Linked DNA regions of Caenorhabditis elegans. The protein of the gene in region 2 purifies or fractionates together with the protein of the main gene of each other region. This does not show direct contact. Each region holds a gene or a part of one and is shown on either strand. Other genes may lie near its edges. The genes, in order: ndua-8, nduv-2, R07E4.3 and ndub-6.

The links.
Region 1: the proteins of nduv-2 (region 2) and ndua-8 fractionate together in Caenorhabditis elegans (co-fractionation; one large-scale study listed by BioGRID). This does not show direct contact.
Region 3: the proteins of nduv-2 (region 2) and R07E4.3 fractionate together in Caenorhabditis elegans (co-fractionation; one large-scale study listed by BioGRID). This does not show direct contact.
Region 4: the proteins of nduv-2 (region 2) and ndub-6 fractionate together in Caenorhabditis elegans (co-fractionation; one large-scale study listed by BioGRID). This does not show direct contact.

Annotation. Positions count from the first base shown.
Region 1 is NC_003281.10:2,524,148-2,533,163, reverse strand, and holds ndua-8 (NADH dehydrogenase [ubiquinone] 1 alpha subcomplex subunit 8), read right to left. Parts: upstream 4,102-9,016; 5' UTR 4,089-4,101; coding exon 3,957-4,088; intron 3,911-3,956; coding exon 3,735-3,910; intron 3,626-3,734; coding exon 3,507-3,625; intron 2,936-3,506; coding exon 2,811-2,935; 3' UTR 2,662-2,810; downstream 1-2,661. Other genes in the region: cone-1 (Protein CASP), read right to left, coding at 2,340-2,450, 2,494-2,544; Homeobox protein cut-like ceh-44, read right to left, coding at 2,340-2,450, 2,494-2,544; rbc-2 (WD_REPEATS_REGION domain-containing protein), read left to right, coding at 4,536-4,668, 4,731-4,854, 4,905-5,016, 5,074-5,283, 6,497-6,798, 7,630-7,753, 8,334-8,532.
Region 2 is NC_003283.11:13,624,125-13,627,522, forward strand, and holds nduv-2 (putative NADH dehydrogenase [ubiquinone] flavoprotein 2, mitochondrial), read right to left. Parts: upstream 1,444-3,398; 5' UTR 1,426-1,443; coding exon 1,234-1,425; intron 1,188-1,233; coding exon 816-1,187; intron 789-815; exon of another isoform or gene 772-788; coding exon 616-771; 3' UTR 501-615; downstream 1-500. Other genes in the region: F53F4.11 (Ribosomal L1 domain-containing protein), read right to left, coding at 1-397; F53F4.12 (Thioredoxin domain-containing protein), read left to right, coding at 1,923-2,048, 2,097-2,315, 2,363-2,807, 2,906-3,090.
Region 3 is NC_003284.9:5,949,106-5,956,814, reverse strand, and holds R07E4.3 (Cytochrome b-c1 complex subunit 8), read right to left. Parts: upstream 3,358-7,709; coding exon 3,085-3,357; downstream 1-3,084. Other genes in the region: R07E4.5 (VWFA domain-containing protein), read left to right, coding at 3,645-3,806, 3,852-4,037, 4,451-4,802, 4,856-6,012, 6,487-6,613, 6,674-7,143.
Region 4 is NC_003282.8:11,648,004-11,656,482, reverse strand, and holds ndub-6 (NADH dehydrogenase [ubiquinone] 1 beta subcomplex subunit 6), read right to left. Parts: upstream 4,081-8,479; 5' UTR 4,075-4,080; coding exon 3,968-4,074; intron 3,915-3,967; coding exon 3,812-3,914; intron 3,760-3,811; coding exon 3,643-3,759; intron 3,578-3,642; coding exon 3,467-3,577; intron 3,414-3,466; coding exon 3,280-3,413; intron 3,231-3,279; coding exon 3,170-3,230; 3' UTR 3,051-3,169; downstream 1-3,050. Other genes in the region: ent-1 (Equilibrative nucleoside transporter 3), read left to right, coding at 1,019-1,180, 1,332-1,498, 1,577-1,671, 1,721-2,233, 2,282-2,367, 2,467-2,781; acl-3 (Tafazzin family protein), read left to right, coding at 4,464-4,614, 4,664-4,783, 4,829-4,925, 4,982-5,261, 5,362-5,568; ZK809.8 (Cardiac phospholamban), read left to right, coding at 7,698-7,715.

The DNA.
Region 1 (9,016 bases), on a different chromosome or scaffold from region 2:
ATTTTTCACATCTCGGAGCTGCTGTAGTAATTCCCCAAAGAGCATCAAATTATGGGCTCTCTCCGTGTGAGAAAAGATCGATGCGTTGAATCGCGCGGGGGCTGTCATGTTGTCGTTCCAAGAAAGGAGTGTGAGAGAGAGAAAACGGAGGGAGAAAGCAATTCCAAATCGATCTGGGGACCGCCTGAGTCTGTCACGTTATACGCTGCGTCTCTCTTCATCTCGTCTCTCTTCAGCACAACAGCAATCGAGCAATCGGCCACATATATAGAGAGAGCTCGTCTCGATCATGCATCTGCACCACCCGTCTATGGGAAGAGAGCACAACGACTACATAAGTGAGAGAGAGTGCGTGGGAGAGAGAGAGAATAGAGAGACCCATCCGGAAGATGGCCAAGAAGAAATCGATTTGATGCTTTCCACTCAAAAGGAAGAAGAAGAGAAGGGAGTGAGTGAGTTGGGAAAACGGAGGGACCGATTGGAGAAGTACTGAAATGAGCAGATTCACGTGGTGTCAAAGTGCCTCATTTTGGTTTGATCTTCAAGAAATGCGGGAGAAGAGACTGATTTCGCATGGTTAAGAGTGTGTGTTGACGTCACATTTTTTTGAGCAACAAAATTCCCGCATTTTTTGTAGATCAAACCGCAATTGGACAGCCTGACACCACGTCTGCAGATTACTATGTAGAGTTGAATTTCTAGATCAGAGCATTCGATCCATGCGTGGGCGGCGGCAATCCGAACTGACAAAGTATAGAATTTTGAGAAACTCTATTTATTGTTCGGATTCCAACTCCCAGAATGAGAGGTCAAACTCTACAGGTTTTCATGAATTCGGTGAGAAAAAATGTGTTTCTTCACCAAAAACATTGAAGTTTTTTGCTAAAAAACTTGTAAATTGTCCAAATGTCGAATCATCAAATTGCTGAACACGGGTAGATCAGGGAAAATTGAAGAAAAAATCTGGATATGCTTAGGCCTTTATTTCTGGAGATAACACATAATACGGCAGCCTGGGAGATCTGCGAATTTGGAATTTTTCGAGTTTTTAAAATCTAAAGAAATTGAGATTCTACAAGCGTTTTCCTCTAGTTTCTGCACATTTCTAGATGAAATTTCGAAATCTAGAAAATCTAAAAACTTGAAAAATGCCCTCCAGAGCTATAAATAAATGTGATATATCTATAGGATTAATTTGAAAATGTAAACTAATCTGATGATTTATGAGCTAATACAGACACTACTAGAAATATGTATGTGTGTGTGTGTGTGCATATGCTACCGGCTGGTAATAAACAATATTTTTTACAGGAAAAGTTGAAAAAAATAGACTAGGAAGTAGTACAAAAACCTACATACTATAGAGCAAAAAATAAAAATTACGAAAAAAGGACAGAGCTCATAAGAGAACGAGATAGAAACGATTTGAATGACAGATGGCGAGAGAGAGAGAGAGATTCGACTAATGTTCGATTGATGGTATGACACTTGGCGGGAAAATCAATCGATATTGATCACGATTTTCGAGATATCGATCATTTGAGGAGCACATAATCTTCACTTCATATTGGAGAACCACCGGAATTTACCAAAGTTCAAAAAAATTGACATTTTTTATGTACTAATTCTACATTTTTTGTAGCATTTCCAAAAGTTTTCTAGTAATTCCAAAAAACTACTTATTTATAAATTACACAGATCCAAATTCCAGAGATATCGATTTTTTAAAGAAAATTTGCACCATTATTTTCTAAAGCAAAATAACTGAAAATTACTGAAAAATGAGTATTCCGAGCACATTTTTGCATTTTTTTCAAGAAAAGTTGTATTTAAAAATCGGTGGAAAAAATCCTCACTTATAAATATCGACAGAGCTTGGTCCATTTTTCATTAATTTCGCTGAATTTTTATTCAAATTATGCAGGATTGTTAGCTCAGTTTTCAAGAATTTATACTCGTTTTCTCTGAATTTTCAGCCCAGTGTTCCAAAAGTTCTCCTCATTTTTTTTCTTGTTTTTTAGCAAATTTCTATATATTTTCTCCCCAATGTTGCAGGATTTTCAATCATTTTTTTTCCTAAAATTTCGAGTAATTTTCGCTGAGATTTTTAGCTAATTTTTCCATAAATTCTCAGCATTTTTGCCGAATTTTCAGCCAATTTATCCGGATTTTCTCTGGATTTTAGCCAATTTTTTTTCCATAATTTCTTTCCATTTTTGCCGGATTTTCAGCCATTTTTTCCATAATTTCTCTCTATTTTTGCTGGATTTTCGGCAATTTTCCCATATTTTGATTCGATTTTCACCGGATTTCAGGCCAATTTTTCTCCAATTCTTTACCTTATTAGTTCTGCCTCTATATGCATTACTCTCCTCAACCAATCGTGTTTTACGAATTTCACTGTCATCTTGTCGTTGTCCAAGTGCTGTCACTTCAGCCTCCACTCTTGTCTGAAATTTCAGATTTTTTAAATAATTTTTTTTTCCAAAAAACTTGAATTCGGTCCCAATCTACAGATTCCCATGCTCTTGAGACGATTTCCATAAGGTCTGAAATAAGAAATTAATCGAATTATTTAATCACAGCAAAAAATCACACAATTTGTTAGAAATAGCACACGGATTAAAACCAGAAAGGTTGAAAAAGTGAAAAAAAAAAATTAAAGAAAATCTACATTTTATTCGCTGAAAAAATTTAAATTTTTGGAAAAAAAAACGGGAAAAAACAAGAAAAAAATAGGAGAATTTGGAGAGAACTCTACGGGAAAACGAAGGGTATTTGCAGAAAAACGGCCAATTTTTCAGAGAAATCTAGCTTTCAGTAATATTGTAGCGCCAGTCGTTGTATTTACGGTAGTCTTTGCGAAGATGATAGTCGGCTGGAAGCTCATTGAGCACTTTAGCTGCTTCTGCCTTGTAGTCACGGAGCTTCACCTCTGAAATTGGGGAAAATTGAATTTGCCGCGAAAAATGGGATTTTAAATGAGTTTTTAGTGAGATTTTCGTGAAATTCAGGTGGGAATGATGCCTAAAACTGAAAAAATTGATTTTTTTGACTTGAAATTCGGATTTTTTCCGCAAAATCTATCAAAATTTAACTTAAAATACAATATTTTTTGGATAGAAATTTGAATTTGTCGCTAAAAAATGTCTGAAATTAAGGTTTAAATAGTGATATTTTGGCTCGAAATTTGAAATTATTCCGAAAAATACAAATTTTACCAGTTTTACAAGGCTTTTTTGACTGAAAAAAGGTGAATTTCGTGACTTTTTAGTTTTAAAAAGCTTTAAAATAGTCAAAAAAGCGAAAAATTTAACAAAAAAGTGGTTTTTTTTTCAGGAAAATATGCAAAAACGTTAGAATTTTTCAAGTTTCAGGAGTTTCTGGGAACTTTTCTGAAAAGTTCATACAAAAATTGAGAGAAAAACAGTGGAAGAATTCAGCTAAAATATTGATTTTTTCGCATTTTTAAATTAATTTTATCGTAAATTCTATAATTTCTGTACCTGGAGCCGCGGTGGCCGAGTCATAGACATGAAGTTTGCTGAAGTATCCAAGCTTTGGACGCGTCAAGTTCAAATTAGCTTCCACGCAGGCATCGAGCTCCTTCTGGTCGTCATGGCACCTGAAAATTGAATATTCTACTGCTTTTTCGCTTTTTTTTTCGGAAAAAAATCACGTTAAAATTTTTTAACGGTTTATTTTCGATGAAATTTCATTTTTGGAAAGCTCACTTTGACATGTAAAGCTTGGCACTGCTCTGATCAACACATTCGGCGAGCTTCTGAGTCTGTGGAAGGCAGGAACGCTTCAAAGATTGAAGAAAATTGACTCCACACGCGGTCAGCGCGGCTCCCTCCTTCAAAACGGCACGTGGATCCTCGGCTTCCTTTCGTCGAAGCATGAACTCCTGCAAAAAATCTCAATTTTATCGAAAATTTGGCAGAAAAACCAACATTTGCCTCCTTTTCGCAATGTTTTGCCATATAGGGAGCGATGGATTTGAGCCATGGAGTTGATAAAGTGATTTCCTGAGGAACAGTGAGCTCCTCGTCACTTGGAAAATGCGTATCCTTGGTTATACTCATCGGAAAATGTACCCTGAAATTGGAAAATTGGAAACCAAGCGGAAACTGTTACAGAGAGGGAATTCGGTGATGAAATTTATTATTTTCGATGAGAAAAATTTGAAATTTGATTTTTAAACAAAAAAAAACAAAAAAAAATCGATTGAAAATAGTTTATTTTGATTTTAAATGATAAAATAAAAAATAAAATTTGTTTTGCGCAACGGCTGTTTGCCCGTAAATCCACACAAGTTTAAAGGCGCATGCCATGTTGGCTCTCTTCCCTGCGAGACCCGCGGCATCTCATGTCGATTTACGGGCTATCGAACTTTGCCCTTTTCTTGCTCCGATTAAAGTTTTCTAAAAAAAAAGCTTATTTAATTGAAGAAATTCAGATTTCATTTCAGATTAAATATTATGAAATTATTGTGTAAATTTCTGCTGTAAATCTGAAAATCTAGCTGAAAAATGGTGGAAGTCGCGCCAGCCGGCACAAAATCGCCGGCGCTCTCCGTTCCAGTTGTCATTTGGGGCCCGAAACCGCCGGAAAACAAGATTTGCGCAATTCGTGTGCTTCCTGATGGCGCAACAATTATCACAGGTTAATATTCATCGAATTTTCTAAACAATAAAACAAAAAATCTGAAATTTCGAAATTTTCAGGCGCTGAAAATGGCCACATTATTATTTGGAAGCTAGCAGAAGGACTTATGCCAAAGCAGCTAATGATTGGACATTCTCAAAAGATTACAGCAATCTCTCAGACAACAAATACACCGACAAATACGTTAGTAACGCAGGATTTGGAAAAAATCGATAATTTCCGAAAAATTCCAGACGTTTTGTCTCAGCTTCAGCCGACGGACGTGTATGCCTCTGGGAGATTCAAGATGGACGGTGCATTGATTCAACATCTTCTATTGCAATTCACAGATATATTTATCCATACGTAGGCGCTGGAAAATCGATTTTTAGCCGAAAAAACCGAGAATTTTTTTGATTTCAGACGTATAAATCGTCCCGTCACACGAGAGCAACTCGTCTTTTCTGTATTGGAGATTATAGTGATATTCAAGTAATGGATCCACAAGATTTGACAGTTGTATTCTCAATTTCTTCAAGAGTTGAACCGGATTGGATAAGCTGTTTTACAATTATTAGTCATCCGGAAAAGGAGGATCAGTTGATTGGAATGACTCTGAGTGGAATGATGAAGGTGTGGAATTAATGGAAAATCGATTAAAAAGCGAAAAAATTAATTTTTTTCAGCCAAAAATCACCGAAAAACATTAAAAAATATCATATTTTCGCGGAAAAATTGCATTTTTAAATGTTTTAATGTGAAAATACAAATTTTCTAGAAAAAATCTTCAATTTTATGTAGAAATGGAAAAAAAAATCGCGATACCCTGATTCAAGCTTATTTTTGAACGAAATTTGGTGGTTTTGAGCAAAAAATTGTAATTTTTGCCCAAAAATTTGGATTTTAAAAGTTTTTTATTAATAATTTCGATTTTTCAAACTTGTAAAACGACAATTTCCGTGAAATTTTCAAATTTTTTTCACTTAAAAATCACAGTTTTTGGAATTTTTTCTCCAGAAAGCCAATTTTCTACTTAATTTGGAAGATTTTTTGTATAGCCTTTAGATTAAAAAAGCTGATTTTAAAGCTATTTTTAAGAAAAAAAAAATTAATTTTTACGACTTTTGACGTTGATTTTGGTGTAAAAATGTATAAATCTATTGAAAAAATGTCATTTTGGACAGTTTTCGAGTGGAAAATTGAATTTTTGAAGCTTAAAAAAAAATTTTTAACTAAAAAAAACACAATTTCCGTGAGAATTTCAAATTTTCAGTTTATAAGCTCTTTTTATGATGCAAAATATCGATTTTAGGCCGTTTCTTATCAATTTTAATGCAAAAATAGTCATTTTCAAGCTCTAAAACCACATTTTTCCAGTTGAAAAGCTCGAAAAATTGAATTTTTATAGCTATTGCAGTTGATTTTTGTGTAAAACATGTATAAATTCGTCCAAAATATGACATTTTAAACGGTTTTTCGAGTAGAAAATAGAATTTTCGAAGCTTTTTTCCCTGTTAAAAGGCAATTTCCGTGACATTTCTAATGTAAATTTTCAATTTTTGACTGAAAAAAGCGAATTTTTGAACAATTCACACAATGTAAAGTGTTCTTAACGCAAAAATCTCGTTTTTAAATAGATTTTTACTTGTAAAATGACAATTACCATAAGATTTTCACATTTAAATTTTCACATTTAAAAATTCTAATTTTTGGTTTAAAAAGCTATTTTTAATGCTAAAACGGAAAAATTTAAATTTTTCCGAGGTAAAAAATTGATTTTAGATAATTTTAGACCAATTTTAACGCGAAAATAGCCATTTTCAAGCTCTAAAACCCCATTTTCCAGGTGTGGACGCTCACAGAACTGGAGAAAAAGGACCCAGCAACATCTCTATATGAAGATGAATCAAAACGACTAGAAATTCAACATATTCGAAGTGTTTCATATATTTGTTCAACAAGAAGAATGCTTTTAATAATTGCATCGACATGTTGGATGATTATTGATATGGATGATCTTTCAACAGTAGTTTTTCATAAAAATGAAATAACTACGAAACGTTGTGTGGCTGGATATCTTACGGATTTGGATAAAGTTACAATTGGATATACTGATGAATCAATTCATGTATTTCAATTGCCTATCGAGTGAGAAAATTCCGGAAATTTTTATTGGAAAATACCGGAAAAATCGAATTTTTCAGCTAAAAACACATGAAAATCAACAAAAAATCACAAAAACGAATAATTTTCTTTGATAAAATTATCAATAATCTAAAGAAATTTGAAATTTTCCTGGAAAAAGCATACAATTTGCGAAATACCCTAATTTTCTAGCGTGTAATCAAAAAAAATTGACAAAAATCGAAAAATTTTTGTTTAAAAAATTAAGTAGTTTTGCACTATTTCGATAGATTTTCGTATATATAATTATTGATTTAAACAACAAAAAATGAAACAAAAAATCCGCTTTTCCACGAAAAACAGATTATTTGCAGAAAAACTATATCTTTTAATGAAAAATTGACAAAAATTGAGCCAAAATATCCAAAACGCACATTCTGACGAATTTTCTCATAGAAATTGCTTATCGAGTGAAAAATCCCGGGAAAAATCGACTTTTTCGGCAAAAATTGAGTTAAAATCGCTTATTTTCAATTAAAAATATGCAAAAAAAATAATTAAAAAAAAGATAATTGATTTTTTTGGAAAAAATAAAAAATAAATAAATAGCTTAAAATCACGAATTTTTGTTGAAAAAATTTGAACATTTCCCACAAATTTGACATATTTTTGCCTAAAAATTCAAGATTTCAACGCTAAAAAGTTGAATTTTCTTGAAAAAATTCTCTTGAAAAATTTTTTTTTTTCGACTTTAGCATTCAAATTAATCTAAAATATAGTAAAATAGTATAAAAATGGTGAAATTTACTATAAAATTCAAAAATTTCAAAAAATAATAAAAATTTCAAATTCCAGAAGTCTCCAAAAAGAAGGAGTACCGCCAGTTGTTGCAAATAATCGTCCAACCTCAAATTATTTCGATCAGCCGAATCCCTTCATTGTGGCCACTGTAAATGGTGTTCAGGAGCACTCGAGATCTGTAAGAGCTCCGTGTCGATTTACGCAGCTCGTGTGTACTCCCCGAGGAGAAGAAGAAATTTCCTGATTTCAGGCCATTTTTCACTGATTTTTTCACTTTTAAAATTAAAAAAAAAATCGCCGTGGTTACTGTGAAAAACCATGAATTTATGTTGATTTTGGCTCTAAAAAGGCAATTTTTGTCTAAAATTCTCAATTTTTAGTATTTTTTAACATTAAAATCGCCCATTTATCGAATTTTACTTCAAAAAACTATTAAATTAGCAAACCTTGACGATTTGAAACCGAAAGTGATAAATAATGACAGAAAATTCTAGATCTCTAATTTAATAGTGTTTATTGCTATAAACTGGAGATTTGAATACCAAAAAAAAAAGCGCCAAAAATTGCATTTTAAGCTGAAAATCGAGAAAATTCATTGATTTTCCCAAAAATCTCTACAAAAAATTGTGAAAATTGCATAAATCAAGAATGTTCAGCTCAAAAACTGTAAAGTCTTGTCCTCGGGGAGTACACGAGCCGCGTAAAGCGATTTTCCAGCTTAAAAGCCCGAAAATTCTCAATTTTCCCAAAATTTTCAGTGCCTAAACGACGTTCAATTTGCATTTCTACCATATAATTCTTCAAATTCCCTGGAATCTTCATCATCTTCATACGAAAAACGTCGTTTCTCAGTTGTACGAAGTTCAAGAAGAGATGGAAGTGTACTTGTATGGAATATGCCACCATTTGATCATCAATTCATGAAAGCTGTGCCAGCTATCAGGAATTTGCCATTTAGTACGGGCGATTTTTGATCTAAAAATAGAAAAAAGGCTAAAAATTTCAAAAAACCTGCGAAAAACGTATTTTAAAATTTTTTGTCATGTTTTTGCATATTTTTCTTTAAAAATTTAATTTTTACTCCAGTTTTCATGAAAAAACGCTCAGTATTATCATAAAATTTCATTAAAGTGAATTTTTGGGTCCCATCACGAAAAATTCGGGGTTACTGTAGTTGTTGCAACTGTACAAATCTTAAAAATTCAAATTTGAATTTTTAAAAAAATTGAAACCAGGAAAACTAGGCCGAAATTAAAACTTTAAAAATTTGAAAAAATTGCAAAATTACAGTAACTAGTCAGCCGGTTTTCGTAGTGGGACCCAAAAAAATTTTCATTTGAAAAAATTGAATATTTGAGACAATTTTCACCACAAATTAGATGCAAATTACGACAAAATCGTTAAGAATTGTAATTTTTCGTGATATTAGAAAATCAGAAAG
Region 2 (3,398 bases):
CTTCCTTCTTCGCAACTTCAACTGAAGGAGCAACTGACTTCACAACCTGCAGCTCATCATCTTCCTCCTCCTCATCGCTACTAGGAACGGTTTGAACGCCTGGCGCCTTCTTGGCTGGCGTTTTTGCAGCTGGAGTCTTGACGACTGGAGTTTTTGCAGCACGAGTTGGTGTCTTTGGTGCTGGTGTATCCACAGTCGATTTGGTAGTTCGCGATGGAGTTTTTGGAGCCGGTGTTTTTGGAGCTGGAGTAGCACCTCCTGCTGCTAGTGATTTCTGAGCTCTAGTCTTTGGGGACCTGGCTGGTGTCTTCGGTGGAACAACGACTTCTTCGTCCTTCTCTGGCACATCGGCGACGACATTCTTCGCAGGAGTGTTCTTGGTGCTCTTTCTACCCATCTTAAAATAACAATTAAAAATTTTAAAACAAAAAGAAATTTGATAAGTATAAAGAAACGGAATGCAAACCGCAGATCATGAAAAAGAAAATCATCAGATAAATACATTGAATACACTTTACTCTAAATCGCAAAATTAAAAACGAAAATTAGGATTTTTAAAAACCAAGGATCTGATAAAGATGGAATCTACAAATAAATTCAAGCATGTCCAAGCGTTTATTTAAGAGCAGCTTGCAAACCGAATCCAGGTCCAGGCGGGGTTTCTTTGAGAGAAGTAAGCTCTCCGAATGGCTCAGCGGCTAGGCGCCCGGATCTTGGTCCAGCAGCTGGTTTACGTCCTGCTTTAAGATCGTCAAGAATCTCGTTCACATCCTGAAAACTAACATAATTTTGTTAACGCATTGATATTTTTATACCTTTGGTGTCAGGTCCTCGAAATAATCGTCGTTAATTTGAATCATTGGAGCATTGACACATGCTCCAAGGCACTCTACTTCCGCCAATGTGAAGAGTCCATCTTTTGTTGTTTCTCCGGCATGAATGCCAAGTTTCTTCTCAATAGTTTCCGTGATGGTTTCAGCTCCTCGAAGCATGCATGGGGTAGTTGCGCAGACCTGGAGGAAATACTTTCCTACTGGTTGCCTGTTGAACATGGTGTAGAAAGTGGCAACTTCATAAGCACGCATTCTTGGTACTTCTAAAATTTTAGCAACCTCATGCATGGCTGAAATTGGAAGCCAGCCATGTTGCCGCTGAGCCAAATCGAGAAGTGGAATAAGAGCACCAGCCTGAATAAAACTGATTGAAAAAACCAGCATTAAAGTATAATCTCACTTTATGTCCTTCTGGATAAATATCCATGATAGCCTTAATTCTCTCTTGATTTTCCGAAGTGAATTTGAATTTGACATTCAAATTATTTTCTTTAGTGTCTCGGTGAACCATCAATCCAGTAGCTCCGCCTCGCTTGATCACCATTTCACCAAGGCGTGACGCCTGGAGCAGCACGTTCGATGCCAACGACATCTTTTGCAGGCCGATCACCTGAAAATTGATTTCTTCATAAAAAAACGATAATTTATGATTTTTCACAAGAAAAAGCAACATCTTCTTAGGGTAGAACTACTGGTTATATGTAAATGAATACGCTGAATTAGAAAATAATATTATTTTCAACGGAAATTCATCAGGATAACTGGGAAAAGCTGAAAATAGGGCCTGAAAATGGGCGGACATTCAGAAGGGACTAGTTCCTTTCTTTTCGAAATCGCCGGCCATGGTGTATGTTTACGATAAACTAAGCGTGAGATGGCATATCGGAGTGTCGTTTTATTATTATTTTTTCGTTTTTTGTTTTTTTTTGTTTTCTTTGAAGAAATTTAAAGAAGAATTCTTCTTTAACTTTCACGCATATTTAAATTAGAAACCTATAGAATTTTCGAATCTTTTTAACTGCTTCTGATCACTATTAGTAGTAGAGCGCATATTAATTGTTTAATTTCATCAAAATTAAAGTTTTATAGATGTCAGAAAACTTCGGCGAAGCAACGTATGTTAGCGGACGCCATCGGAAAAACCCTGTACTCATTTACACAAGTCGAACAGACCGTAACAAAGTTTATGAATTTATGATCGCAACGAAATATAAGGTGAATTTTTCTTTAAATCAAGTATTTCTATATTTAATTAGTTTTCAGATACCTGGACTAGTTTCTTGGAAATGTGTATCATGCTCAAAAGTGAAGAATGGTTATCGAAATTTAGGTGCTGAACTGAAGCGGAAAGTTCCGTTGATCCTAGTAGACAACGATATCATCAAGGAAGATCCAGAGAGACCCCTCAATGCTGAGCATTTTTGTAACGGAAAAGGTCATCTCGAAGCAGTAGTTGATAGAGCTAGAATTGATTTTGTACATGTAAGTTCTTTATAAACCTGTTTCAAGTTGCATGGTGTTATATTCAGATGCATGGACACGAAGAACCGAATAGTGCACAAATTCGTGAAACCATTCAACATTTTGCAAAAGAAGCTGCATCCACAGCACCGATCCCATTGAACGGGAAAGAAAAACGAGAGGTACAACGGACACTCGGTGCGAAATGTCTACCGCTTTTACATGGTGTTAATAAGCGAAGAATGTGTAAAAAGAGAAAAGAAGCTACGCAAGCTCAATTTCGAGACAACGAAGAAGGAATATTGGAACATGGAGAAGGTTCTTCTTCTTCAGTTCAACATCAGCAGGTCAAAGATGACAGGTCATCGAACAAAATAAATGAAAAAACTGGGGAAGTTCAGGAAGATTTTCAAGAAACACCCAGAAAACGTCGGAAAGCAGCGAGCAAGTTTCCACCATTTTCATCTCCAACGCAACAGCCTCTTTTGGTACGACCATTGCCGCCCATGTATTGTAAGTTTTTACGATTCGATTCTTACATCAAGGACAACGTCTAGCTTTTCAGAATTTCATTCCTTTTCAAAAGTCTTCTGAAACGTTTATTTTTTCAGACGTCCGCACGGGCATGGCTTCGCAAGTTCTTCCACACCAGCATCATCATCATGATTCTCATCATCATTCAATAGATTATTATGAGGATGTAGAGATTGAAGAAGAAGCTAGAGAACACGTATTCGACGATGAAGAGCTCATTTCGGGTGACCAGCAACAAGTGGCGTATAGCATTGAACTTTAAAGTACATTTCTAGCCTTCATATTTTGTAACATTTGTTGGAATTTCACAGTTTTATGCAATTACATGTAATTAGATTCCCAATTTGTGCAAAGGCCGTCAACACGTGACATGAAGTCTGTTTCGCTTCTCTGCACCCTCCCGTTTCACCCATTCACATTATTTTTCACCATTCATCAGCTGGTTTTTTTGTTGCTTTTCTTTTCCGCCTCCCTGTCAATTGTTGTTTTGACGCAGTTTCCTTATTTTCTCCTTTTTAGTTTTTTTTCTCAAAAAAAAAAAATTTCAAAAAGTTTCACAATTAACGTATT
Region 3 (7,709 bases), on a different chromosome or scaffold from region 2:
CTTAATTAAATGCCTCTAGATGTATTCAAACTGAAAAACTTGAAATCTTAGGCATGCAAAATAAAAAAAGAAAGAGAGAAAGTGAGAGCCATAAGACAATGTATTTTGATATTCAAAAGTATATGTTTACCCATTCCTAACCAACATTTCCTTTTTTGGTTTTTTCACATGCACGGGTAACAACTTGCACTAGTATTTTTCTAGAGAAAAGTGTTTTCGAATCAAGAAATCATGGACAATGCTACTGCATTTCCGTTCCAGCTGGTTTGTGGCGGCTCATCTAAAATGGGATAAGGGTGTAGTAAGAAAGAAGAAGAAAGGGAGCAAGAAACCGATAGACTGCTCTTTAGGGGGCCTGCGGACAGAAAAACGGATTGAGAGGGTCTCGATAGAGATATGACCGATAATTAATGCAATCACAATTGGGCATGTCAAGAAAGCAAGATGTGTAGAAAGGTTTTTGTGCGTGTGTCATCGCGACCGCGAGAGAGCTTTCTCATCTTGAGACGACGCGGTGTCCTTCTAAAATGAAAAATGTGATACGTTTTGCTGAGGGACCACAGAATACATGAGCTTGCGATGCAAGGTTCACCGGCACCCCCACGAACTGAATAACATGAAAACTGATGCTTTTTGAGACGGGAATTAATCATAATCAAGGAATCAAACAGCATTCGTTTTTTCGTATAAAAGTTTAAAGGGTAACAATATGACTATATTGATTTAATAAATATATAACACTTGTTTCAATACTCACACGGTCATCTATATCACCATAAATTTTCCGTGAAGGATAAAAAAAACGTTATCTTGAAAACTCCTGGAAATTTGAATCGCAGCGAAAAGTTTTGATTTTTTTAAAGTTCTTTAAGGCGTAACTGTCTATAAAACATACAAAAACCAGAATATGTGGAAATCATTTTTGAATAATGTGGCAATTTACCAAAACTTTGGCTTAACTTTTAGAAAAATCTAAAAATTTTGGAGGTTTATTTTTTTTACCATGAGAGCAACTTTTGAACATTGCTAAGAAACCCTATTAGAATATTTGTTTTTAAGTCTTTATAGAAACTCCAAAAATTTTGCTACTTAACAAAAGTTCCAGTATTTCAAATACAAAACCTCTCAAAAAGCACAAGTCAACTACGGCAAATGAAAATTGTGAAATCATACGCTTTTAAGGCGCTCATTATTCATTTTTGTCATTTCTCATGACTACTTTGGTTTTTTCTATAGTCAGAATCATTTTCTGAGATGAAATGTACCTCTCTTTTATAATTTACCAATTCTTTTCAATATGTTTCCTACATTATAAGAATAATTTTAATTGAGCAGAAAGTGTAGAGAAATAGAAAATACTAGTGAATTGGAGTATATGGGCAAAGAAAAAGTTGAGTGGTTCTTTTCTGTGCGGAATTTTATTGCTAAACTTTCAAATGATAACTGTAGATTTTTTAAAAATATATTGACACTTTTTAATGATTTCGAGATTTGATCATCGCAGAAAGTGCAGTCTGCCGAATATGTTAAAAATTGCAACTAAACAGACCAAAGAAGAGTTGTGCTTTATACTTTTCAAAAAATGTTTACTTGATAATTGACAAATTTTCGAATTGCCAAAAATGTGCTCGCTATTGCCAAAAACGCGAATTTTGAAAATTTGGTAGCTATTAAACTCTTACAAATTGTTCATATTTTCTGTTCAAATTTTCAGAGAAACCCAAAAAATAAATTTCCGATAAGTGAGTGCTACATCATATTAACCCATTGGAATACGATTGGAATAGATTAGGACATATTTAAAAAGAACACCATCCTTGCAGTGTAAGTTGGTGAAACATTTTTTCAGAGGAAAATGAAAAGTCCCACATTGTGAACATTTAAAATTGAATTCAGCAGCCAATTTCCTGAGACAGAAACTGTAAATAAATCGAAAAACCTTACAGAAGAAAGCTCGAGAATATTACGGAATTATGAATCAATTATCTGCTTTCAAAGGTTTTCACGCTTTCCGTTTAATTTGTTTTGTTCGAATCAGAAGATAACAAATCAAATATTTGGCAAAGCTGCTGTCAAAAGTATCCATAAAACAAAGACTAACAGTATTTTTTGAGCGGTATAAAAGGTTGAAAGATCAAATCGAGTTAAATTTAGATAAATGAAAGAAAAATTGACCAGCCAGCGATAATATTTTGTAACTAATTTTTCAGCTGTCTGGAAGTAGACTTTTTTTTGAATAGAAACAACAAAACAAGCAAAACGGTTGCTAGACGCAAATACATGCTCTACATATCTCTTTAGTTACCAATGTAAAAAAGTATAAATCTTCTGACAGCATAGATCAGCTTCAAAACCTGTGGTTTGCCACTTGTGGTTTGAAATCTTTTTAGGATGACAGTTTTGTTTAGAAAATATTAACTTTGACTTTTTCTAATTGCTTTTTTCTGGAGAATATTTTTTAATTTTTCCCCACGTTCCTGAAATGACTAAAAACAATAGCAAAAAATTTTTTAAGTTTGCGATTGTTTTATGTGCAGTCACGAAGTAGTGAAAATTCAGTTTGCTCTTTTATATAATTGTTTTTGAAGTCGTCCTACGGTTTACTAATTTTGTTTCGGAAAATTTGGCAACTTGCCACAATTTTGACTGAAGTTTTTGAAAAATCTAAAATGTATTCAAGTGTTTAATTATTCTACTACAAACGTTTTTGAAAGAATTATTAGAGGTTCTTGCCGATTATACTGTTTTAATGCGTACACATACTAATAATAGTCTATCTTGCATGTTTGCAATGTTTGATTTGACTATATCAAACATTAGAATACCGCATTTGATCCTTTAGTCTGGTATTTCCTTGCTTAACTTTGGCAGTTCTCCCGCCTGATTTTTTACGTATGAAAACATTATCAGCTGACAAAATAATTAGCTTTTTTTCTTGTACTGCAGTTTTAAAGTAAATCATATTTTGATATGCTTGTGTACAAAAACACATTGTGATTCTAGTAATACATTTTATTTGAGAAAAAATTCCAACGTTGATTTCAATTAATACATTGAAATAACTAATCCAACTTCTTCCACAAGTTATTCGTCGTTGGCAAAATCAGCTGGATTTTTGCGGTTTGCAGCAACATTTGTCTTCTTGGCCCAATCGTAGAGAAGATATGCACCAATAGTTTGTGGAATGTAGTAGTACCATTGATCCCAAACGTAGGTTTTGAAGGTTCTCACAAATGCCTGATCGAAGAATCCTTTATAAGCTTTTTGTTCGTTTGGAGCCAATGCAAATCTATGCTCTCCATACATTTTTCCCAAATTTCCAAAATGTTTTCCCATTGCAACGGCTGAAGGCCTCATTTTTATCTGAAATAATAAACAAATTAAGAAGTTAAAGTAAATTTCAATGGAAAAAGTATACAGCAGTTGCGACGAGCGCCTCAGTTGGTTGGTGTGCAAGGACGCTCCATTGAGAACACGCTGCGAGACCCGGCCGTATAAATGTGTGCACCTTGGAGGGTGCCTCTGTCGTTATACGTTAAGTTTCCTCATTTATTATCCAATTTTTAGATTTTTTTGCAAAGTGTGGTTTTTATTTCTTTACTTTTTAAATGCTATTTTAGAAATTGAATATTGTTCTTTCAGGAATGCCGTTTCCCAACCAAATTCACTTTTTAGTCGACGCGAGTATAAAAATGCATGCAATTATCGATTGTGATGCGACACCAATGGAGAATGCGTACATTTTTCTGCGTGAAATTTGCAAAAAAGGAGATCATCAGCCGACCTATATCGATAGAGTTCATATTGTGAGTTTTTGAAGCAATAGTTTATAAAGTTTACACTTTTTTCAGCACATTGGTGATAATTACATTGAACTGGAAGAAGGAAAAGCACTGAAGATGTTTGAGGATTCGAAAAGTATGATTTTTGAGCCATCAGATCAGAATGATTTTCTTTCGCTTTGGAAAACTGCGTTGGACGCCGATGAGGATGAAAATGCGTTATTTTTCATTGTATCCACTATTGTTAATGAAAAAGTAAGTTGTCACCACATTAAAGGTGGAGTAACGCCAGAGAGGAAATTGTGAAAAATCACTCTTTTGGTGTTGAAATAACTAAATATCATTTAAAAAAAATTTCGGCAGTGTTCGGAAAACTTCAAAAAAGCGATGAAAAGTAAGCTTTCACCAGTCTGTTTTGGAAGTTATCGATGAAAAATAATAATTTCCTTTTTTATGTTATTCATGTTGAAAATATTTATATTCCAACATTGTAGGGATTTGTGTTTCATTTCTCGAAGAGTGGCACAAGCTCGGTTGTCACCGCTTTTTGGCCAAAAATATTAATTTCCAAAATGTTTTGAAAAGTTTCAAAATTATATTCAGTCATTGTAACACCATAAAACTTTACCTTTAAATAAGAAATAAAAAAAAAACAATCATAAATTCAGATTCTCAAAATGTTCCACAAATACCACAAAAAGATGACGTTTCTCGATTTTTCTGGAATCAAACTAAATATTTCTGAACGACTCAAAAGCGATGTTCATCTGGTTGAACACGGAACTTCAAAAAAACTAGCTGCGACAATTCACAAGAAGATTACCGAGAACTACGTCACAACGGTCAATTTCGGGACTTCTTTTGGAGTAGAACTTGCACCTTGTACTGTGAGAAAAAATGTGCCCTACGAACTTACCAAAATTGACATTGTTGGCACATCAACATATCAGCCACTGGAAACGATTTCAGTTTTGACGAGAAGTTTCCTTCTTCCAATTGACAAGTGCTATGACAAAAAAGGTAACTACTGTAATATGCAAATGTTTTAATTATTTAACCTGTCCTATTTCCAGGTTCGAAAGTGAATAATGCAGTCGCATATTGTGTTTTGAAAGAGATCATTGGTGATAAGCCTGTAGCACTCCTGGAAAAAGAAGATGAAAACGATCGGAGTTCTGATACAAGCCTTGAAAAATCCAATGAAGATATCAAAAAGGAAATTGACGACATGAAGTCTGAAACAACTGCGCCAGTTGTTCCAGTGAAACCTCGAGCACCGAAAAAAAAATTTCCAAACCTTGTTCCCAACAATGAAAACGGCTACGAAGGAGACGGAGAGTCTGGTCCAATTACAGCCGAAAATGTCAAAAATGAAAAAACAAATTTGACTAAAGGAGGGAGAAAGCGAAGATTGCAAACCCTCGAACCTTCAAATGCAAAGAAAGGAAAAGACGCCAAAAATGGCGATCTACTTTCTGAAGTGAAAAACGACAAAGAAGCCGAAACCAAAGAGAATGAAGACGGAAAAGCCTCAGCAGATGGGACACCAGATCCATTGTTCCTAGTTGCATGTGCAACGGAGCGCTACACTGGGTTACGCAGACCAGTTATTCTTCGACTCCGCGAATTTGACAAAGATGACAAGACTTATTATGATGAAGAAACGCTTAAAGCAAAACTTGAAGAACATGCTGTTAAAAAACTGGAAGAAGAGAAGGACAAACTTCAATCCGCTGCCGCACCTGAAGATGACTCTCCAGCAAGTCCTCCGATGGATTGTCCAGCGTCTCCAGATATGGTTCCCGTTATCCCGCAAACTGTGAAAATCATTCCGACAGTTCCAACAATTCCACTCGAAACACAAGACGTCGATATGCGTGAACCATCAGCTCCCAAGGATGTTGATTACAGATCACAAGATGTTGATTTGCGTGTAGCAGTTCCTGTTGGTGATGTCGATCTTCGTGCTCAAGACAAGGTACAAGATTCTTTACCTGTGGAGGTAAAGAAAGAAAGCTGTATTGTCGACGATGCGGTTGTGCCGGAAGAACCACCAATGGAAGATTTGACAACGAATCAAGATCAGCCGGTTAAGTTAATTCCTTTGGAAGGTCAGACAGAGCTGAAAGCAGCAGAAATCAAGCAAGAAATGAGTGAAGAAACAGCCGCAGATGATAATCAGTCACAGGAGAATGTTTTTGATTATGGGAAATATATTCAGATCATTGTGGTAAGATTTTGAATACGATTTGGGACAGAAATTAAAGTTCGAGTAGCACCAATGGAAAAATTGTTAAAGCCAACTTCTATTGTGCTAAAGTGACCAAATATCATAATTAAAATTTTCAACACAATCTTTAAAATCTTTTATTAACACTCGAAAATGGCAATTACTGAGTTTTTTTTGTAACTTTTGGAAAATTATAGCACGGTAGCATGTTTAAGTCCTATGATGTGGGAATATTTGAAACATAAGTGGGCTATAAAGTTCAAAGGGAATTTTTTTGATCGACGGCTTCCGATAACGTAGCAAGCACTGAGTAATTGCCCCTTTTCAAAACAACAAAATTTCAAAAAAATTTTGAAAAAAAGTTTACTATGAGATTTGGTAATTTTAGCACCATAGGAGTGGTTTTTAACAATTTGTCCATTGGTGCAACTCGGCCATAAACTTAAACATTGAGCTTAAAAGTATAAATTTTAGCTCGATATGACTTGGGAAAAGTTTGAAAAGCAGATAGCTATAGTCAACGACGATGATATCTTTGAAGAGCTGACGGAGCGTGAAAAGACAGTTGTCGGCCCAGAGCCAAATCATGATTACACCAAACGTAAGTCAATGATATTCCGAAAATTAAAGTCTAATTGTTAATTATTTCTCAAAATTTCAGTGACCGGATGGTACTCACCAGAAGCCATGCAATTCTATGTGAACAAAATGGTCCGGGCTCTGCGAAAACTTCAGGACCGATCTGCTTTATTTGAGAAGGAATACCAGAACATGACTCGGATGGTGATTTATGGTCAGAGCCCTGAAATGGCTCGACAGTTTGCAATATTAATTCGTGAGGAGTCATATGGGCTTGAGAGACAGGCTGTTCCAGTAGCCGACGGTGCTGCTCAGTACTTTGAGCAACTCAGCGAGCAAATGCTTTATCAGCCAAGACCAAGAAAGGCGGTTTCATCAAGACGTCATCATTACACTCAGCCGCACCCACACCATCAGCAGATGCCACATCATCAGCCACATCTGCACCATGCCCATCATCCTGTACATCCACATCGTGGACCACGCGCCTCGCATTCGCAGCATCTTCAGCATGGACAGTACGCTCACCATACTCAACGCCCACGCCACTAGCGGACTAAAAATTATTACTGTAGCTTGTGAAGCTTATATTATTATTTGTTATCAATTCATATTTTTATTTTCTGATATCCGGGTAGTTACTCCGAAGATTCTCATTATTGCTGTTATGTTCCTGTGAATGAAGATTTCCTGTCAAACAATTACCTATTTTTTTGTTATTGGAAATGTCGGTGTTCAAAATCACTGCTATCACTACTTTATTTTCGCTTTTGAACAACTTTTGATTCAAAATTTGAATCAATCAATGCCAGTAGTGTTTGCTCTTCTCATCATACCTCTCCTTCCAAGCAACGCGTGTTGGTGATGAGAGGCGCAGACACGGAACAAATCCACGCTGGCGCTGTGTGAAACGACACGGTTTTGGTAGCTTTTATACATTTCCGCAAACTGTTTGAATCGGGTTTTTATCTTTTCCTTTTTGTTCCTTGTTCGGAAGTGCGCTTTGAATGAAATACAGGCAAACCTGTTTTGAATTTCAATTAAAATGAAAGTCAAAATATAATTTTTAAAACTTTTATAAATTTATTTTTGGTACTTATGTAGGAGCCATACCACAA
Region 4 (8,479 bases), on a different chromosome or scaffold from region 2:
GAATTACAAACAAAAACAATAAAATCTCAGCGATTTCTATAAATAAAACTAATTATTCATTTACCATTCAGGTTCAGGTTGCCATGGAGTAAAAAGCTCACTGCGGCTTGCAAAAGTAGGCGGAGTTTGGAGATGCAAGCGCGCGGCGCACTTTTCTCATTCATTTTTTGCATCGTTCTGGATTAAAATTGCAATAATTTTTCGTGTTTGATTGGACTATTTGAGGCTTTTTCATTTATTTTCAGATACGTTATAACACAAATTTTGATATAACTCAGAAAATATGTAAAATATGAAACATAATCTGTTCTCTTGTAGAATTCTACGACCTTTAAACGAAGTCTAGGATTGTAAAAAGTATATTTTTCCAAGTTGTTGCCTTTAATGAGCTCTTTCAATTTTTAACAGGATTTTATTAATTTAAAAATCTTATTTTCACTTCCTTTGCATTATTTGATAACTATCGCCAATAATTGTTACTCTAAGAAACAGTTTTCACATCAAACTTTCAATTAAGTCAAACTTTTTTACCTTGAAGCTAACTTTTTAGCTTCCCTTTCACGACAACAGTTTGCAAATACATGCTTTGACGTCGCTTTTTTGCAGACAAAAGTTTCATTGAAATGAAGTATACCTTTCAATTTTTAGCTTATCTTACTAAATAGCTGACGAGAGGCAATCGCCGTACTATCAAGTATTGTCTTTCACTTTCATTGATTATTCTCTTTTGAGTTCAAAGTCAAAAAACATCTTCAGTTTTTTTCCATGAAGTTTTTTCTTATGGATTTTTTCAAATTCAGCTACAGTAATAACCTGCACATCTAACTGCACCTGTTGTTTTGAATTCGACAATTCTCGTTTCGAATTTTTTGGGAAAAACTTTAGAACAATTACTTCTGCTCATTTTTCTTGAAAATTGCTGATTTTTTTTCTTTTTGAAGAAAAAATTCCTATAAATGCTCATCTTTTCTTGCCTCGTTATTTATGTCTCAACCTACAAAATGTTTTTCAGGGTACTATGTCGTCGGCAGTGGAGCTACAGCCGTTAAACAAAACAAAGAAAGTCGAGGAAGAATCCCCGGAGCCAGAGGACAAGGGAAATCTTGTTTTCTACATTATCTTGCTCCATGGAATCGGAACTCTTATGCCATGGAACATGCTTATTACGATCTCCTATGATGTGAGTTTTGAAATACCAACAAAAAAGATCACCGATATTTTAAAAGCCTATTTCAAAGCATGGAAACCATTTTTTAGGAATGTGAGCTAATAGAAATTATCTAGAAAATGTATTAAATTGTAAAAAATTCGCTTATAATCATTATTTGCAGTATTTCGAATCATACAAAATGCTCGCCAACTCAACAATCGACATGGACACCGGAGTAGTTACTGGATATCCAACTGTCTACTCATCCAACTTCCAAAGCTTCCAAACGATCGCTTCTCAAGTCCCGAACCTTCTTCTCAATCTTCTCAACATCTTCATTGTCGTCAAGTGAGCAACTTTTTTCTAAAAGATAAATTCTTGCAGTTCAATGTTTCGTTAAGTTCTAAATAAAATGTAAACTTTCAGGGGAGGACTTGCTAGTCGCATCACTGTCGGACTCTCAATTGTAGCTGTTTGTGTGATCACTACAATGATGTTCATCTACGTCGAAACCTCCACATGTAAGTCATCATCCCTTTCTATTATTTTTATAAACCCAGACGTTTTCAGGGCTCACCGGATTCTTCACACTCACCATCATCACAATTATTGTATTGAATGGAGCAAATGGAGTATACCAGAACAGTATCTTCGGTCTTGCATCGGAGCTTCCTTTCAAGTACACCAATGCTGTGATCATTGGAAACAATTTGTGTGGAACCTTCGTCACCCTGCTCAGTATGTCGACTAAAGCTGTCACCAGAAACATCTTGGACAGATCATTCGCCTACTTCTCCATTGCTTTAATCACACTCGTCTTCTGCTTTATCTCCTTCCACATCCTCAAGAAACAACGTTTCTACCAGTATTACAGTACCCGTGCCGAAAGACAACGAAACAAAAACGATGAAGCAGTTGATAGCGAAGGAAAAGTGGCTAATTACATCGCAACTTTCAAGGAGGCCTTCCCACAACTCATCAACGTATTTTTGGTCTTCTTCGTTACTCTTTCCATCTTCCCAGGAGTCATGATGTATGTTAAGGATGAGAAGAAAGGAGGTGTCTACGATTTCCCATTGCCACGTCAGTTTTTCATCAATTCTCTTGAAATACATAACCGTGAATTTTCAGAAAAATACTTCATGGATGTGACCACATTCCTTCAATTCAACGTGTTCGCTTTTATTGGATCAATTGTCGCCGGAAGAAAGCAATGGGTATGTTTTTATTTTTTGAGATTTTGGCAAAATCTGATTGAAGGAATACCGTAAACTTGAATAAATTAGAATAATCTAATATATCAATATTTATTTCAGCCTGCGCCGAACAAGCTCTGGATTCCAGTCTACCTCCGTCTCCTCTATATTCCATTCTTCATCTTCTGCAACTATCTCCCTGAGACCCGTTCACTTCCCGTCTTTTTCGAATCCACCTGGCTTTTCGTCATTATCGCCGCCTCGATGAGCTTTGGAAGTGGATATTTCTCGGGACTCGCCATGATGTACACCTCGAAGACTGTTGATCCATCGAAGGCTCAGGTCGCTGGAATGATGGCCGGATTCTTCCTCATCTCTGGAATTGTCTCTGGTCTGATCTTCACAATGGTCATCAAGATGGTCGTCACGGCCTAAACTTCTTATTCCTCCTTATTTTATTCCCATCAACCTCATCATTAGCAATATTAATTCCCTAACGTAAATTCTTTCATAACCTTCAAGGTTTCCTCTGTAGTATCTTTATCCACTAGTGTTCTTTCCTTAAAATACCTCTTAATACTTTGTTGTTCTTTGTTATTTTCCTTCTTCAGGTATTTCCGCAGCACCATCTCGTTGTTCTCCTATTTTTTTATAATCTCAACTTGTTTTTTATGAATAAAACCTAGAAAGTTGGTTAAATAAATCATTCATGAAATTTTTTATTTACGGTAGGGTCAAAAACAAAGAAAAAACTTTAAAAATTCGTCTACAACACCCTAAAAGTACATATTCGAATGACTGATTGTCACTCGTTTCCTTTCGATTACCACGGTCGTTTTGTCTCTCCAACATCGAGGTAAGCAGTACGCTTATTAAATGTTGGTCTGAAAAGTTTCAATTTTCCAATATTCCACAAATTATTGTTTAACTCACGTGTAGTAGTCATCCTTGGATGGGTTGGCGAGTCCCTTATCCATGAGTCCAGGGAATTTCTCTTCAATTGCTGGAGCACTAGCAATAACTTCTTTTTGTGGCATCGATTCAAGTCCTCTCAAATGTGTCCAGTCCTTGAAAAGATAATGGTTCGTGAAATTAATATAAAATTCAAAAAATTGAATACCTTGACTTCGTATTTCCAATAATAATAGGCAGTCTGCACAACGACGAAAGCCATGAGCAATTTTGGAGCTGTAACTCTGATAGCGGTTCCATAGTAAACTCCGAATGTTGGCTGAAATGCAATAAATGAGAAATTCAAATTAAAAAATTGATTTTTTTAAAGAAAATATATCTCACCTTGAGGTAATGAAGATAGAACTTGTCCCATGGAAGTCTGTAAGCGGTTCTGATTGGGTTCAACTGACGATGAACGGCATCGACAACGACTGGCTCGTCAGCGTGAAGGTGCTGGTCCTAAACATAAACATTTTAGTATTAACAATTGACAAAAAATGTAAAAACTCACATGAACCCACTTCTTTCTCCATTCTCTTTCGGCTGGGCTCAAACCAGCGGCACGAACACGCTCATCGGCCATGTGGAGCTCGAGAGACATGCGGTCATTCACTCTGAATTTTTTTGTGTTGAATAGAATTTGTTGAACAGAATCTAAAAGAATTACCTGTGAAGAGGCTTGTCACCAGTCTTGACAAGCGCCGGTGGTGGAACTCCGGACCGGGTATAAGGGGAATTGCCCGTGCGTTCTGGTTTCACATACTGGTTACCCATTTGAGCCTGAAATTCGTTTTTATGAATTTGTGAGACTGCTTAAATATAAACTGAGTAAAAATCGATAATAATGAACGGGCACACAAAAAACATGATACATGACAACGAAATATAACAATTTAACATAAATTACATACGAAATCAATAAAATTTTAGCAAATTTGAATAAAACAAACTATTTTGCAGTTAAATTTAGATCTGCCATTTATTAAAAAGCCCGTTGCGGCTTGCAAAAGAAGGCGGAGTTTCGAGGTGCAAGCGCGCGGCGCACTTTTCTCTTTCTTTTTTCTTGCATTGTTCTGATTAAAATTAATATAGTTTCCACGTTCTCTAACACTTTATTATTCCATTCGAAAGATTTTTCTAAACTTTAAAAGTATTTCAGCACGATGTCGGGTACAATGCGGGATAAAACAAATGACGTGCAAGGCTTCCGGTTTGCATGGCCCTTTCCAAAAAAACCGTCACTTCTGTACCGTATAAAATCATACATGACAATGAGTTTAGTCACTTCAGTTTCCAAACTTATGTTCCTTGGAGGTTTGTCTTTTAATTAAAGTTTAAAATTATTAAATTCGATACATTTTAGGATCCAATAAGTTGATATGCCACAACAAAGAGACATTCGTCAAGATTTTGGAAAATCCGAATCAACCACTCATCACAGTCTCAAATCATCGCTCAAATATCGACGACCCGCTCATGTGGTGTAAGCCGAATGATTTATTATAGCATTCCTAATTTCTATTTTCAGGTATTCTGAAATTCCGTGAGTTTTGGAGATACAAAGATCGCAATAGATACACTCTCGCAGCTCACAACATTTGCTTCACAAAACAGTTCCATACAACGTAAGAGTTTTTTCTCTTGAATTTTTCAAATTAATCGTCGCATATTTATTTTTCAGAATGTTCTCATTAGGACGTTGTGTTCCGTGTGTTCGTGGAGAAGGAGTTTATCAAAAAGGAATGGATTTCTGTGTGGATATGCTGAATGATAATAAATGGGTTCATATCTTTCCAGAAGGAAAAGTGTGTACTCTTGAAAGTGAACCACTACGATTCAAGTGGGGAATTGGAAGGCTTGTGATGGATGCTAAAACCGATCCAGTAATATTGCCTGTATGGTGTAAAGAGATGGAAAAAGTTTGGCCAACACAACCTCCATACTATCCTAAATTTGGAAATGTAAGTCGGAAGATTTTTCAAGTTCAATAATCAAATTTAGACGTAAAAATATAAAATCTGCAAAAAACGTAGTGAAATTATTCATTTTTTTCCGTTTCAGACCGTAACAGTTCACATCGGAGAGCCATTTTTCCTGTCTGATCTCAAGAAAACAGTTCTATCAAAGTCACTGACCACTGAACAAATGCGAAAAATCATCACTGACGAAGTTCAGACACGGATGTATCAATTGGGAGAGAAAGTTGGTGATCTTCCTAAAGGATCGTCACTGGAAATTCTTCGAAAAAATCCGCCAATTGAATATTAAACTTGATTCCCCATAGCTTTAATTTTTTAGGAAATATTTAGATTTTTTTTCTATTTCTTGGTTTGATGATTTTTGTTATAACACAACTTTTATTGCATTTTCTATGTACGTGATAGCCATTTTCTTTCCTACTTGCTGTTTTTGTTTTTTTTTTCTCTTCCCTTGAAATCCCGGATGAATTCGTCTCAAGCTCTGATCTTAAGATCATCATTCTGTTCTCCTTCACCATTTCCTCTCATCGTTTCAGAACGTCGAATCGAGTCGTTGGTTTAATGGCGTGCCAAACGGCAAAGAGCAGCAGGAGCAGATGGCGGCGTGTCAAACGGGCGGGAGAAATCAAGATGATACCAAGTTTCTCTGGGTTCATGGATTGAAGAAAAATAACATAGAAAATGACATTTTGCATGACATATCATATGGAGGTTAACAACTTTACATTCATATGCAAAGGAAATGCATCCGTCATGCGAAATCTAGAGTAGGCAATTCAAGAATCCAAGTAAAATCTGAAACTGAAATATGCACAATAGGGTTTTCAGAAACTGACTGATCAGAGTTCACTGATCTTTCACAGCTGAGCTTGTTGTTCTATCACGAGAATGTTCATGATATCTGAGTATGAAAAAACAAGCTCAATGTTTCAAACAACAAGTGAAATATTATGAACAACAGTTGAAAATTTGAACATTTTGTGCAATTAGACTTCAACCGTAAGTAGGCATATCTTCAGGCCTATGTGCATGCCTATCGTCGTCTTCCAGCTTTTTCAAGATTTCCAGTGATCGGTATTTTCAGTTTTTTTGGGTCTAGATTCCAGAGTAATCGCACCAGTTGCATATTATACGATCCTTAGTGAAAATATCCACAGTACCGGCTCTCGCCACGAATTTTTTTAAATCCAAGTCGCAAAAAGGTGTGCGCTTTTAAATAGTACAGTAATCCTTTGCCTGTTATTTTGCAATATTCTCTTATTAGAACATTTTTCTTGAGAATCTAAATTTAAACACTAGAAAACAATAATAAAGAACAGGAAATAACGGGAAGTTGGTTACTGTACTTACTACTCAAAGGAGCACACCTTTCATAGCAGATTTGAGTTTAAAATAATTTGTTCGTGGCGAGACCGGGTATCGTGTTTTTAGGCGAAAATCGCTTGACTTTTGCAACTAGGTAATTCCTAGATTTTGTGTTTTCAGAAACTTCCTTTATTACTTTTGCATTTTTCTGCAATAATTTTTTTAAAATCTCATTTCAGAGAGTTCAAAGATACGATAACGTTCATGTTAGTATCATTCCTCAAACGTTTCATTTTCTCCAATCAGTTATCACTGATACACTTTTCAGTGACACTGTGTACATGTAGGAAAAGCTATCCGGTGTCAAGCGGTCTTCCTGCTCTCGGAGCAAAAGAGCCATATGACTTGAACGTGTGCTCGCACAAATCTCCTGCACACTTTGACGTTTCGATATCGAAGTATGGCAGAGCGGTGGTTTGATAAAATCCAATCGAAAACCACGATATCTCTTTCTTTGATAACACATTTTTGTTTGTTCGTTTCCTTCATGGTTGGCTCGATCAAAAGTGACCTCTGTTTCTTTTTTATCACTGGATATCATCAAATCTATCAATTTGGAAGGAGCAGCACGGAGCCTGAAGCAGAAAAATAAGAAGAAGATGAAAGAAAACACAAAGATTGTGAAAAGTAGAGTGATTCTGACTTGAAGGGTTCTCCCTCACAGAGATCATGTGCCATTCGGAGAGAGCCATGGAAAAAGAAAACAGGCGTCCTATAGACAAGGCGGAGTCTCCACATTCTCATTGATACCTTTCTCTTCCTCAAAAATGTTGCTGGTTGAGTCATTTTGACTCGGTCCTATCTGAAAATTTATCCTTTTTATCTTTCTTTTCCACATTCTCATTATAAGTCAATTTCTATTTACCTTATCTATCTGATCAGTACGTATCAATATCAACATTCAATATCAAGTACCTCAAACAGCTAGACACCGCCTCCTCACCTATATTTCTAAACTCTTAGTTCTTCGCAACTTACTGGTCTCTGATTCAGGAATTATTTAGCGCTTATTTCAATTTATTTGTACTTTTTTTTTGGAAAAAAACACGAAAAATGATGAAGTCAACTACAGTAAGTTTTGATTTTGTTTTTGGAGTAGTCCTGTTCCACTTTGAAGCTTTATATCTCAGTTAATTTCAAAAATAGCAAAAATAAAGTAAACGCAAAACTATAGCCAAGGGAATAATTAATATTTCGTCAATTGAAATTGCTTTGATAAAACAAATGACGAGCGAGATATAAGCTGGCAAAGCTGAGTAGTTTTAACGTAGGAAGTACGGTAGGAAGTGATCGCCTTCTTGTTTGGCAGTTGAATTTAGCACATTTTTTTATAGAATATGGTGGTTTTTCAAATAGAAGAAAATATCTAATTAAACTTCGTTGTGTCTATGTTATGTTAGATTTCTTTAGTGAGCAATTTCAAATGAGCAACGACTTTTATATTCGTATTAAAACACTAACATTTCTGCGAATTTCTACGAATGTGAAATATTTGTGAGATTATATAATACTTTAATAATTAATCCCTATAATTATCTACCTATTTCTTTCTCACTTGATACCTCAAACAGGCCTTCCACTATCCTACCTTTGTCCAAATAATGTTGCCAACCTTGGTAAACCGTTGTGGACGCGTGCCTGCTGTCAAAATTCTTATGATCATTCTATCAAATTAAAATATATTAATTGAAGTTTCAATAAGTTATCTGAAATGGATAAGTGAAAAATTTAGAAATCAAATCTGTATAAACATAAAAATCAGTTCATAGTGCATATAGAATGTAGAAAGGCACGTAGGCAAACAGAGGTAGGTACTTTTGCGACTGACGTTTCTA